2 linked regions of the Caenorhabditis elegans genome follow. The protein of the gene in region 2 binds, or shares a complex with, the protein of the main gene of each other region. Each region holds a gene or a part of one and is shown on either strand. Other genes may lie near its edges. The genes, in order: rnp-8 and gld-2. A codon is read from its position in the direction of its gene.

What was found.
Region 1: the proteins of gld-2 (region 2) and rnp-8 are in contact, whole or in part, in a crystal structure (PDB 5JNB), measured with the Caenorhabditis elegans proteins. Residues at the interface, in NP_491842.2 of Caenorhabditis elegans: Trp554, Asp564, Leu567, Leu571, Arg574, Tyr578, Val584, Phe585, Pro586, Leu587, Ser588, Gly589, Leu590, Tyr591, Val592, Leu597, Gly599, Met612, Ile613, Thr614, Asn615, Lys616, Leu618, Asp623, Val626, Val627, Asn629, Leu632, Ser633, Gln636; in NP_490724.1 of Caenorhabditis elegans: His182 (codon at 2,281), Pro183 (codon at 2,284), Val184 (codon at 2,287), Gln185 (codon at 2,290), Phe190 (codon at 2,305), Ile193 (codon at 2,314), Phe195 (codon at 2,320), Arg196 (codon at 2,323), Phe197 (codon at 2,326), Asp198 (codon at 2,329), Asp199 (codon at 2,332), Tyr200 (codon at 2,335), Val201 (codon at 2,338), Gly203 (codon at 2,344), Ala204 (codon at 2,347), Arg206 (codon at 2,353), Phe207 (codon at 2,695), Asp208 (codon at 2,698), Asn209 (codon at 2,701), Leu210 (codon at 2,704), Ala211 (codon at 2,707), Leu213 (codon at 2,713), Ile214 (codon at 2,716), Arg215 (codon at 2,719), Ser217 (codon at 2,725), Thr218 (codon at 2,728), Pro219 (codon at 2,731), Pro222 (codon at 2,740).

What each region holds. Positions count from the first base shown.
Region 1 is NC_003279.8:362,838-369,352, forward strand, and holds rnp-8 (RRM domain-containing protein), read left to right. Parts: upstream 1-1,672; 5' UTR 1,673-1,681; coding exon 1,682-1,842; intron 1,843-1,898; coding exon 1,899-2,354; intron 2,355-2,693; coding exon 2,694-2,759; exon of another isoform or gene 2,760-2,806; coding exon 2,807-3,123; intron 3,124-3,815; coding exon 3,816-4,372; intron 4,373-4,908; coding exon 4,909-5,103; 3' UTR 5,104-5,742; downstream 5,743-6,515. Other genes in the region: icpp-55 (Aminopeptidase P N-terminal domain-containing protein), read right to left, coding at 5,938-6,409.
Region 2 is NC_003279.8:6,367,837-6,372,898, reverse strand, and holds the start of gld-2 (Poly(A) RNA polymerase gld-2), read right to left. Parts: upstream 3,152-5,062; 5' UTR 3,000-3,151; intron 2,935-2,999; 5' UTR 2,871-2,934; coding exon 2,831-2,870; intron 2,726-2,830; coding exon 2,537-2,725; intron 2,490-2,536; coding exon 2,366-2,489; intron 2,315-2,365; coding exon 2,244-2,314; intron 2,143-2,243; coding exon 1,911-2,142; intron 1,701-1,910; coding exon 1,570-1,700; intron 1,522-1,569; coding exon 1,393-1,521; intron 1,340-1,392; coding exon 1,255-1,339; intron 1-1,254. Other genes in the region: ZC308.4 (F-box domain-containing protein), read right to left, coding at 3,403-3,672, 3,720-3,887, 3,934-4,098, 4,151-4,466, 4,523-4,593. UniProt on the Caenorhabditis elegans protein: Cytoplasmic poly(A) RNA polymerase that adds successive AMP monomers to the 3'-end of specific RNAs, forming a poly(A) tail.

The sequences.
Region 1 (6,515 bases), 6.0 Mb from region 2:
AATGTAAAACTTGTTTAAAAGTCAAACCACGTCCATTTTAAAAATTAATTTTTTAACTTATAAAATAAAAACATGTGGAATGCTTTTGCATGTACATTTATACAAGTTTTTTGAGAAAAATACATTTAAATTTGAAAAATGTGTTTACTAAAATTCTGATCAATTTTTTTGTTATTATATATTAATAGCTGAACTTTACTTTAAGACAAAAATTCCTCTAATTAAAATCTACCTTCAAACCATTTTTTCAGTTTTTGCAAATTCTCCTCGGAAATCGCAGTAGGACTGGGAGCTAGATCATTGAGTGGCGAGAGAAAATCACGGAAATTTTTCAGGCGATTTTTCAGGCCCCATGTTGCCTCCCATCCGTATTTTGGTTTCATGAGAGATTGGAGATCATGAAATAAATGCAAAAAAGCATCCAGCGAGGTGGTGATCTTTTTCAGTGATTCTCGCTGTAGTTGAAGATGTGGGAGCTTCTTAAGTAAATTTACAGCTTCTTCTCTATCCTTATAAACTTTAGTGTTCTTCCTTTTCCCGACAATCTCCTCGAAAGCTCTCTGCTCATCCCATCCGCCAATAGATTTTGTTTTGTAGAAACTTGAAATCCTATCAAAATCGATATCCCGATCTAATAGCTGATTCGTCAGATCCGTAGAAGCGATTTCGCCGCTGAGAAGCCCATCGACGATAAGATAGCAGTTAAGGAGCGGTGGTAGTGAGCTCATCCAGTGAATCCACAGGTTTATGGAGTCCTTTCCGTAGACTGAAATTATTTTTAATATTAAAGTAGAAAAAAATTATTATATAAACTAACTATACGCAGGAAAACTCGCATTAAGTTCCAGATTTCGATCGAAGAATTGTGGATGTCCAGCTGGAAATTTTTATTTAAATTTAGTAAATTTAGTGAAGAAATTTAATTTAAAAATACCTGTCAAGCGCTGACCCTTAATCTGCTCCAACATTTGAATACCTTGCCGCTCCCTTTCCGAAATTTCGAGATCTCCGCAGTGTTTACCCGGTAGAAAAACAAGAAGAAAGGGAATTATCGTTATAATCATCGTTATCTGGAAAAAAATTAATTTTCATGGAATATATTTCAAATTTTCGACAACCAAACGCTGAAAATTCACATTTTTTTCAGGAAATTTGGTTGAAAAATCTGTTTTTCATAATATTTTGAGAAAAAAACAAGCGTAAAGGTATTCAAGGCGCATGCAATTCACTTAAGCCAGGGTCTCGAAGCGAACAGAAAACATACGGTATTTGAAAATATTCTTGTTTTCCGCGGAAAGTCGCAGAATTTAATTTGATTTTTTTAACTTAAAAAAACAGAAAATTAACCGTTATACCTTTTGAGCAAAAAATTCTACAAGATAATAATTTAAAACAATTAAAAATTGAATAAACATTGAAAATTAAATGCTTAAATTTCAAGGCGCGTGCATCAAACTTTTGTTTGGGTCTCACACCGAATGTAACAAGTACGGTAAGAGTGCGCGCTTATTTTCATTTTTCGAATTTGTGCGACCAGTTCTCATGTTTTTTAAACGATTTTTGCGGTAATTTTGGCCATTTTTTCTAGTTCCCACCGACAAATTGCATTATTTCCGTATTTTCAACGAAAATTTTGTTAAAAAACCAACAAAAATTTAGAAAATTGCATCATTTTGCAGGGATGAATGGTCAAGCGGATCGCTGCGACCGAACCGCCTACGTTTCGGGTCTTCAGCCGACAATCTCCGACATAGAACTGTTCGAGGTGTTCAATCGTGTCGCTCACGTCGAGAAGGTCATCGTTCGCAATGGAGCCGCCCGTCACGCGCTCATTGTTTTCAAGTTGGCATTTTTTTTCCATTTTTCCTCATCTAAATCTCTAATTTTCCTATTTTCAGAACTGTTCAAGGCCTGTATCAGGTGCTCGTAAACTTTCAAGGAACAACTCTTCACGGCCGTCAGCTGCACATTCGTCCACTGCGAGAAAGTTCGCACGCGAACAGCGAGGCCATCTCAACGATGTTCGAGAAGGTCAAACATCAGGGAAATTCCGGGAATTCTTCGTATCGTCAAGAGCACTCGTTCCCCGAGTACCGAAACCAGAACCCACAGGCTTCATCATACCTTCCACCGAATCCACGTGGTCATCGAAACTCGACGGGCTGTTTCAATGGTGGCGGCGGGGGCTATGGACGCCGACGTTCCGCCGGTGGATACAATCAGTACAATCAGAACAAGTATCCGAACGAAACGTACCCGGGAATGACTCTGTTCGATAATCATCCAGTGCAGCAGTATTCGGGCTTCAATCCCATCGATTTTCGCTTTGATGACTATGTGGAAGGAGCCAAAAGGTGCAAAATTCGCCAAATTTCGCTAAAAAATCTGAAATTTCGCCGACTTTTCCCGTAGCGCAGCAGTTTTTTCTTGATTTAGGCACATTTCAGGCAATTATTTTCGGCAAATCAATATTTTTCCACCATATATGTTCTAGAATGTTTTAGATGTACTAGATTTTATTTTCAGACGAATCAAGTGATTTTCTATATTTTTACACTATTTTTTGTTGAAATATGACCAGAATATGCAACAAAGTGTTCCAGCTGCTGCGAAAAGGAAAAATCGGCGAAATTTCGAATTTCAGTCTATTTTAATCTGTTTAAGCAAAAAGAAAACTAATTTTTAAAATTCAGATTCGACAACCTTGCCAACCTGATTCGCTCGAGCACCCCCACGGATCCGTTCGCTAATTATCAAAAGTATTTTTGAATTATTTTGAAAATCAATAAATTGGTTTTTTTTTCAGACCTTGTGAATCCACAAGCACATCTCGTTCTCGTACGAATTCAGCAAAAGATCAAAAGCATGGCCCGCCAACGTGGAAAATGGAGCTGCAGATTAAGAAAGATGACCACCACCACGCCGGCGGCGGAGCAGCAACCACAGGACAGAAGCTGTCCCCACAACAGTTTTTGGCTCAGATAGCTCAGAGACAACAATCGGAGCAAAACGCGGATGAGGTGGCCAAGAAGAAGCGTCCGAACCTTTCGGTTATCAATCCATCGCTTTTCTATGAGCAATACCCGAGAACATCGTCGCCAGTTGTTTATGCTTCAAAATCTAGTAATATTTTTTGGAGATTTTGGGAAAAAAACAAATTTTCTCGAAAATACGCCCGAAATAGTGTTTCACGCGAAAATTGGCGATATTTCAATTTTTCTGAAAAATTGCTATAATTTTTTCGATTTTCACGTGAAATTGCAAGTTTTTGGATATTTTTCTCGAAAAACGTCAATTCATCGATTTACGCAGCTAGTATACTCAGCAATTGACCATTTTTTTGCAGACAATTTGGTATTTTTTACTTAAAATTCTTGATTTTCGACTTCTCGTGTGCTAATCACTTTTTCAAATGCGCGCCCGAAGAATTTCTCATTGGAGCGTGCTTGCTTCGTGTAGATTTACGAGAGCTTTCCATTTATTTAACTTCTTTCGTGCTTTTTCAGTTTTCCAGCGAGTTTCTGGCTCGACCCCTCGGTGTATTTTGTGCAAACACCGTCACGCGCAAATGCATGCACTTTTTCAACGCGCTGCGTGAAAATTCCTCTTGCGATTTCAAATATTTTTTCCCGCCATTTTCCAAAATTTTCGAGAGGGGGGGGGTCGAGCCAGAACACCTTGGTTTTCCAGCGAGCTTCCTTCATTTACGTCGATTTTTTTTTTAATCTTCGTTAAAGTTCTAAAAAAAAACGACTTAAATCATTTTAAATTTTCCAAAATTCGGTTTTCCTTCTGCAAAAAAAATCAATTTCCAGAACCATCCGGCCACTACGACGACAAAATCGCATCTCCACACGATCCGGCAGTTCTCGCTTACAGTCGCCTTCGTGTACCTCAATCGGCCTTCGACAGTCTCTCACCAATCGACACCGACAATTGCTCATTCATCACAAAACACTTGGGACCAACAACCGGTGTGAAGCGTGATTTGACGAACGACGAGTTGTCGGATATGATTGTATCAACTGGAAATCTCCGAATCAATCCAACCAACATCGATCATCATGACGAACCGGCACCATGGTCTCCGCTGAAACGTCTTCGCGCCGAAAGTGGATCCCTATCAACTGCACAAGTCGCGTCGCCCGAGTTCTCACCGATCAAACCAAAGACAATGGAGTTCCACGAGACTGAGGATGATGTTTTTGAAACTGGACCACCACCAACCTACTTATCCGAAGGAAACGAAAACGCGGAGAAGAAATGTGTTGAGCAGCCGAAAATCAACTACGACGACATTAATAATAGTCGTCTTCCGTCGAATTCTCATTCGGCAGCACCGAATTCCGAGAAGAAGCATTTCGTTTTTCCGGTACGGGGGCTTTTTTTTGAATTACCGAAAAAATTCCCAACTTTTTAAAGTTCAAAAAAGTCAAAATTTTTGTCCATTTTCTGGGCGTGACTGCTTATGCCCCGCCCCCCTTTTTCGAAGTTTCTGCTTCTCGGAAAATGTATTCCCAAAGTGCCAGTTTTGAGGCCCCACGAAAAGGGAGCAGAACGAAAGAGGCACCACGGATTCAAGATCTGGTGCGATTCCGGATCTGGCACCGTGCCAACAACTTGAAAACGTGGTGCCTCTGAAAATTTGCTGCCAAGGTTGAAATATCGAATGCATTACCCGTAAATCGACACGAGCTACAGTAACCTGTTATCCGCGTGGCGAGACCCATGCGCGTCAGATGTGGCGAAAATTATACTAAAACCTGTTTAACTTGCAGAAAAACTTAATTTTTTTTGTTGAAAAAATTGAGCCAAAAGACTCAAAAATTTCATAAAGCGAAACTTTAAAAAAATATATAATTTGTTAAAAATTTCACGAAATATTTATGAATTAATTAATTTTTCCAGGAATACCCAATGTGCCGTCACTCGTCAGTTCCATCGATTGCTCACTTGGTCGGTGATCTGTCGGACTTTTGCCCACACGCTACAGCCGACGAGAAGATGCTGCTCGACGAGGCGTCTTCAATCATCGAAAATACAACTCCAGCAGTGTCTACTGCTCCGGCTGCTGCTCCAGGAGCTACAATGCTCCAAATATAGGAGAAGATCACATATACAATAATATAATCTTATTGCATTTTCGCAATTCTCGTTCTCTCCACACACATACACACATCATCCCAAGTATTCCTGTGCTGAATCTCAGTTTGAATGATGTTTCATACCGTTTTTATCCCACTATTGCCTTATCGTTTCCTGTTTTATTATATTTTTCATTTTTTATATTGCCACCACCACCACCAACACCACCCTCTCTATCTTTTTTTGTTCTTTTGCCTCCAGCAACATCATCACCTAGTTTTCTGTGAATTTTGAATTTTGTGTTCCCCCGAGTCCCCTCTGATAGGAATGATAGGAAAAACAATGAAAATGCGAGTTTTTTCAAAAAAAAAAATACAAACTAGGAAACTATAGAAACAAAAAAAAAACATTTGAGGCGCAGTACCGAAATCTCTCCAAATTTGGCCCGAAAAATTCAAAAGAAAATATTTATTTTTCTAAATTATTATTTTTCCGCCACTCCAGCCTCATTCTCATTGGAGCGCGCAAAGTCATGTCGATTTACGAGATTAAGATTTTCAACGAGTTTCATCATTGTTATCGATTTTCGTGTAAAGTTAACTAATTTTTTTGAAAATTTTCGCAAAAAATTTTGGATAATAAAATGTTCAATTGGCACGAAAATGCAGATCTTCAGCAAAAAAACCGACAGAAATGTGTAAAACTGAATCTCGTAAATCCACATGGCATAACGCGCTCCAATGAGAATGTTTTTAGCGAAAAGTTTGAACAAAGGAATATCAAATCAGGGCCAAATTTGGAGCAATTTCTAAAATATTTTCTCAATTCTTTCGGTATTCCACATTCAAACAATTATTCGGCCGTTCCCATGAGCCTCTGAATCTCGATGGGATCCCTTGGCACTGCAGCAGTCAACAGCTCAATCCCTCCAGCTTCACTAGTCGCCACGTCATCCTCGATACGGTATCCAATGCCACGAAACTCTTTGACAGGCCAATCCATCGGAACATACACTCCCGGCTCAATGGTAAATGGCACATTCGGTGGTAGATCAATGTCTCGGGATACTGTCGGACAATCGTGAACATCCATTCCGAGATAATGACTGACGTGGTGGGGACACAGCTTCTCCGCCTGATGAATCATCTCCTTGTGATCCGTAGATCGAATCAGGCCGAGTTCGGTGAAACTTGCCGCGAGAAGTTCGTTCATTCGGCGGAACAGGGCGCTTAGGCGGACTTTTTCCATTGAGTGGGCGTAGGTGAGCAGTTCTTCGTGAACGTAGAGAAGCGCTTCGTAGAGGGATAGTTGGGCGTCTGACCAGCTGCAAAAACGAATTTTTTTTTGGGAAGGTTTTTTGAAACGATTTTTCAAATTTCGTTCGAATTATATTAAACTTTATATAAAACGATTATCCACGGATTTCTGGC
Region 2 (5,062 bases):
GTCAGAGATACATAGGGACTGCCTGCAGATTTTCACTTTTTTCGTGGTCGGGTGAAAATCACAGTGAAAAAGAGAAAGATGAGAGTGAAGAAAGGTGTAAAGTGAACGGATAAATGTCATTTTACTATTTTAGTTCCACCTGCAGATGATTGGTAAGTTTATGAATTTCATTTGAAATATCTTCGATATTCTTTGTTTATCCGCTCATGTTAAAAAAAAAACTTTTAGTCCAATCAAGTGGAACACGCAACTTTTTAGATGCAATTTCCTAGCTGGCCTAGGTAGAATATATTCCTTGTGTTCATAAAGATAACATAATTCGACACGAACTATAATTCGGTCTCCTAAATATTATCCGATAGTCACTAAACTAATCATAGTTAAGTTCAAAAATCGAAACACTACGGGTATGATCAAGACGAAACACAGAAAATAGAGTAGAACAATAAAGATGTTCAGATCTGGAGATGATATCGTTTACAAGAGGAATGTCTCGTAGGCGTTGCCATTGGAAATGAAAAACTTCAATTTTGTCTAACTATTGACAATATAAACTTTTTAATCTATGCAAAATTACAGCCGCTGTTAATCGTGTTATTGTTTCCATTTTATGGAATTAGAAACTAAAAAATACAAAAGAAAAACCTGACAGAGGAAGTAAAACCGAGAAATTTCTAGAGACAAGATGATAAAACCAACAGAAAAGTGTATGTTTAAACTAATCGTAAGCAGTCTTGCAAAAAATCTTCAGAATTTATAAGTGTAAACTTGGTTTTTTGAGAAATAACATCAACATGAAAGTTGTCAAGTTACCGTTCTTCTCAGTTCTATAAAAAAATAACCACGAATTCTTGAATATCATGGATAAATGATCCCTTGAGTGTATTCCGAAAATTATTAGTTTTTCTTAATAGTCTAATATCCGATTTTCCACCATTGATTGTTGTTGATGATGAACTGGTTATGCTTCTAGTTACTAGACGGAGGACATTCTCTTTGAACAGTACAGGAAATGAGATGAGAAGATACGAATAAATAATAATGAAGTGACAAGGGCAGAGGACACATTCCAGCAATGTCATTCAAGATAATTATTAGTTAGCTGATGAAGCCGACAATGAGTTTCCCCGAATCTCAGAACTAGTATCAGAATAACGTGGGAAATATATAATTATATACTGGGCAGAAGACAGAATTCAGCATTTAAAGAACTAAAATTTAATTTGAAATAATTTGAGATTTGTTCCAACTAACCCGATTAAAGCACTTTGCATACGCTCGTTAGCGAAACACGGGTGTTTTGCATCGACACTGTCCGTTGGTAGTTCACTTGCAGAAGCTGAAAAAAGTAATTGAATAAAACATAAAGTAGAGCTTATGACTTGAACCAACCTCTAAACTGTGCAGCCCTCTCATAAGATGACACAGTTTTCTGCTGATTCGTCTGTACAATATCAACTGGCATCGTTTGATTGGCGGTCTTATGCTGGAGCTCTATTGAGGCTGGCATTGGATCCTGCCCTAAAAATATTACTTAGAAAATTTTTAAATGAAAAAAATAACACTCACCGCGTCTGAATTGTGGAGGAGGATGTTGAAACCGCGTCGGCCAATCCTCTGCTTGTTGCTGCTCAATCCGTTTATCGGAAGATGATGGTGTAGACGGAGGTTGTGGTGGTGGCTGTTTGTACGGAGATGGGCTATAAATTATAATTTTTAGATGAGATGAAATTAGATTTAGATAAAATACAAAGGCTCAAAAATTCTCCTGTAAAATTTAATTATCATTTCCCAAAACACAACCGCCAAAAAATGCCACTCTTTTCGAAGCAATAAACCATCTGGGCATTTATGGTAGATCAAATGAGAAACCTTCAAATTCGAAATACAGGCCTGGAAAACAAATTTACCATTGAGTATATCCACCCGGTGCGGTGCCAGCCGACCTGTACAAATGAATTTTAGGATCATGATTTTGCTCATGATCGCTTCCTTGATGATTCTTATCACTAGCTGGCTCAGCGTGCCTGAGCAGGATTGGAGGCTGCGTCGGAGCTCGGTTTGATGTGGAATTCGCTGTTGAGCTTGATAGAGCTGATGGAGATGGTGGCGATGACCGACGGACAGAATATGTGCCGTAACCTGAAAAAAATTTATTTATTCTTCATATTAGTTCAGATTATTATTTTAGGGGAGATATGTAAGGCTATTAATCTAAAATTATGTCAATCACAATTTCCTACCCTGGGTCGAGTTAAAAATTGGTCTCTGATGTGGTTGGAAGTAGGAATACTTTGGTTGCAGTTGAGGGTAACTGAAATACCGATTTTAATAGGAATAGCAAAAACGAAATTCGATTTTCTACTTTTGATTCCTTTGATGATATTTTGGGACACATCCCTGATTCCCAGAATACTCGCCATTCTGTTGATAATTGCTATTCCCGCGATGATTGTAACTGCGTCCGCCGCGCTGGTTATTGTAGGTTTCTGAAAATGAACAATTTGGTAGCAAGTCAATAATTTTTCTGACTGACGTCTTTTATTTCCTGAATGGTTGTTGTAGTATCCAGTGTTCCCATCCCTCGAAAAGCTTGTACGTCGTGGATGCGATTGCTGATATTGATGGTTTGACTGCTGATTATAAAATGCAAAGCCCCCACTTTGCTGCTGCACACGGCTTACTGAATCGACTGAAGGAGATCTGTTGCGTCGAGTGTGTTCGTCTGAAAAGATAAATCATAAATTAAAAGAATGAGAAGGTTGAGATTGGCTCAAAAATCGATTCTCAATTTCAAATAAAGTTTTGATTGAAAACTCAGATTGCTCACCGTTTCGTTCTGCATTTTTCTGCTGTTGAGCCATAACCATATTGGCGACAAAATTAGACGGATATCTCCGACGGAAATCGTCGGAAAAACTGCCAGAAAGCGAGCTGAAAAGCGAAGTTTAAATCAAATTTCAGCGCCTTTTCAATGCGTGGCGTTGGCGCTCGCTTACCGTATCTCGCGGCGAGACCCATGCACTGTGTCAGGTATTGCGCCTTTAAGCTGTGAAGAAAAAAAACCCTTTTGGCGTACGGTAGAATTTCCATGCGCAACTGAGAAACAGTTCGAATTCGGCAAGTCGTTGTGTTCTTGATTTTGCTGCATTTTCAGGGTAAAAATTGAACAAAAAATTAATTCAAAAACTAACGAAAAACGGAAATGATTCACGTGGAATGGTCACGTCGATATTCGAAAATGCGACGTGGAATTTCTTTTCGTTTCATTTTAAATGGTTTCACTGCTTCTAAACGAAAATAAAAATAAGATGAATTTTATCCAATATAATGTAAGACAATTGCAATAATTAATTGTATAGTTAGTGAATTTAAAATCCTTCAATATGAGAAATAAATGATTTAGGCATCAAATTCCACGTTGTTGTTCATTTTGATTGCCGTGAAACTCTCTTTTCCATTGGAGTCTTTCCCGAAATAATTTTCAAATACTGCTACCTTGATATTATTGTCAGTTGACAATATAGCACACTTTCGGTGTCCGGAACCCATAAAAGTTCCTCGCGAGTCTTCATATCGTTCCAATAGGGTTCTCCAAACGTTTAGAAGAGGTTCCTTGATGAAAATTGCAGTGACAGATGATCCTATGTGAAGGGTGTCGAGAAGAAGACGCTATAATACGAGAAATAAAAGGAGCAAATACCGGCGAAATGACTTACGTTACAAAGCAGAATAAAAGATTCGACGTAATTCAGTCCCAAAACCAATTCCAACTTCATATTGCTCAGGATACAATAGAAATTTCTGATGGCACTGTTCTCGTTTCCAACGGTGTACTCCTGGTAAATTGTTTCCTTTTTTAGTACAAGGTGTTTGCAACTTTTCACCTTAAAAACGTAAATTGAATGAAAATATAGACCATGCGTTTAATACCTGGGTTTCCGTCAATACGATCGATTCGTAATTGATTAATTCTAATTTCTCAAAAACATGGTTTTGGAAATTGATGAATTGAGGATATTCTCTAGCTCCGTTTAGAGTCCAAGAAATGGATGGAATTTTTAGGCTTTGAAGGTTTCGAAATGGACTGTCACTTTCCTGAAATGTAATTTATAATCAACAAGAATAATCGAAAAATGAATTCACAAACCCTGAGTTTGACATGCTGAACAATTCGTTGTGAAGCGGCCAGGTAATAATGAAAATATCTTCTGATTATTGACTTATCATTCGAGAATCTCACAAGTTCCGGGGCCAACAAACATTTGATTTTCACTTGATCCATGTTCTCATCGTATTCAAAAATATATTCAATTGACTCCACCTTCAAAATTCCTGATCCTACTTCTATTGGTCCTTCTTCACTGATTGCTCCGTAATCCTGAGAGAATGACATAGTCTTCAGTGAATAGTCTAATCGACTGTGAATTGATCGAAATTCTGGAGAAACTTTCGAAAGCTCCATTCTATAAAAAAATGTAATGCTTCACTGTTTTTAATCAGAAAAAAAAAATTAACGAACCTCTTACTGTAACTGAGATATGGGACGATTTTTAACAAATTCGGATACTGGAGAACACGTTCGGTGGTCATGATGAAGATTCAAAAGTTTAGAAATCACAAAAAATAAGCATTTCCATCTCTTCATTAGTACGCAGTTGAAATTATGTTTCCGCAATCGTCGCGCCTGCGCCCGTAGGTCAAAAAAGATTCCAGAGATGTCGCGTAATCAGGTCTACTTTAAATTTAAAACATAGTTCTCCTGTAATTTTGCCATAAAGCGTATGTATTATGCTATAGATTTAAAAACAGTCAAGGCTATACGAGAACAGTTTATTGTATGAAAAATTCAAAGACTCGAAAAAAAGACTAATCTCAAAAAAAGTAAAATTTAAAAAAAACATGTTACAGACTTGTAGAAAAATTATCTCACAGATTATCAAACTAGACAGGCATTGATGACAGTGACAGAAAATGGGTACACTATAACAAATTTAGTAGGTTAATAGAAGTAGCTACGTCCAAAGATTGTAATTAGAAGACGAGTGAAAGGGATGCCGGG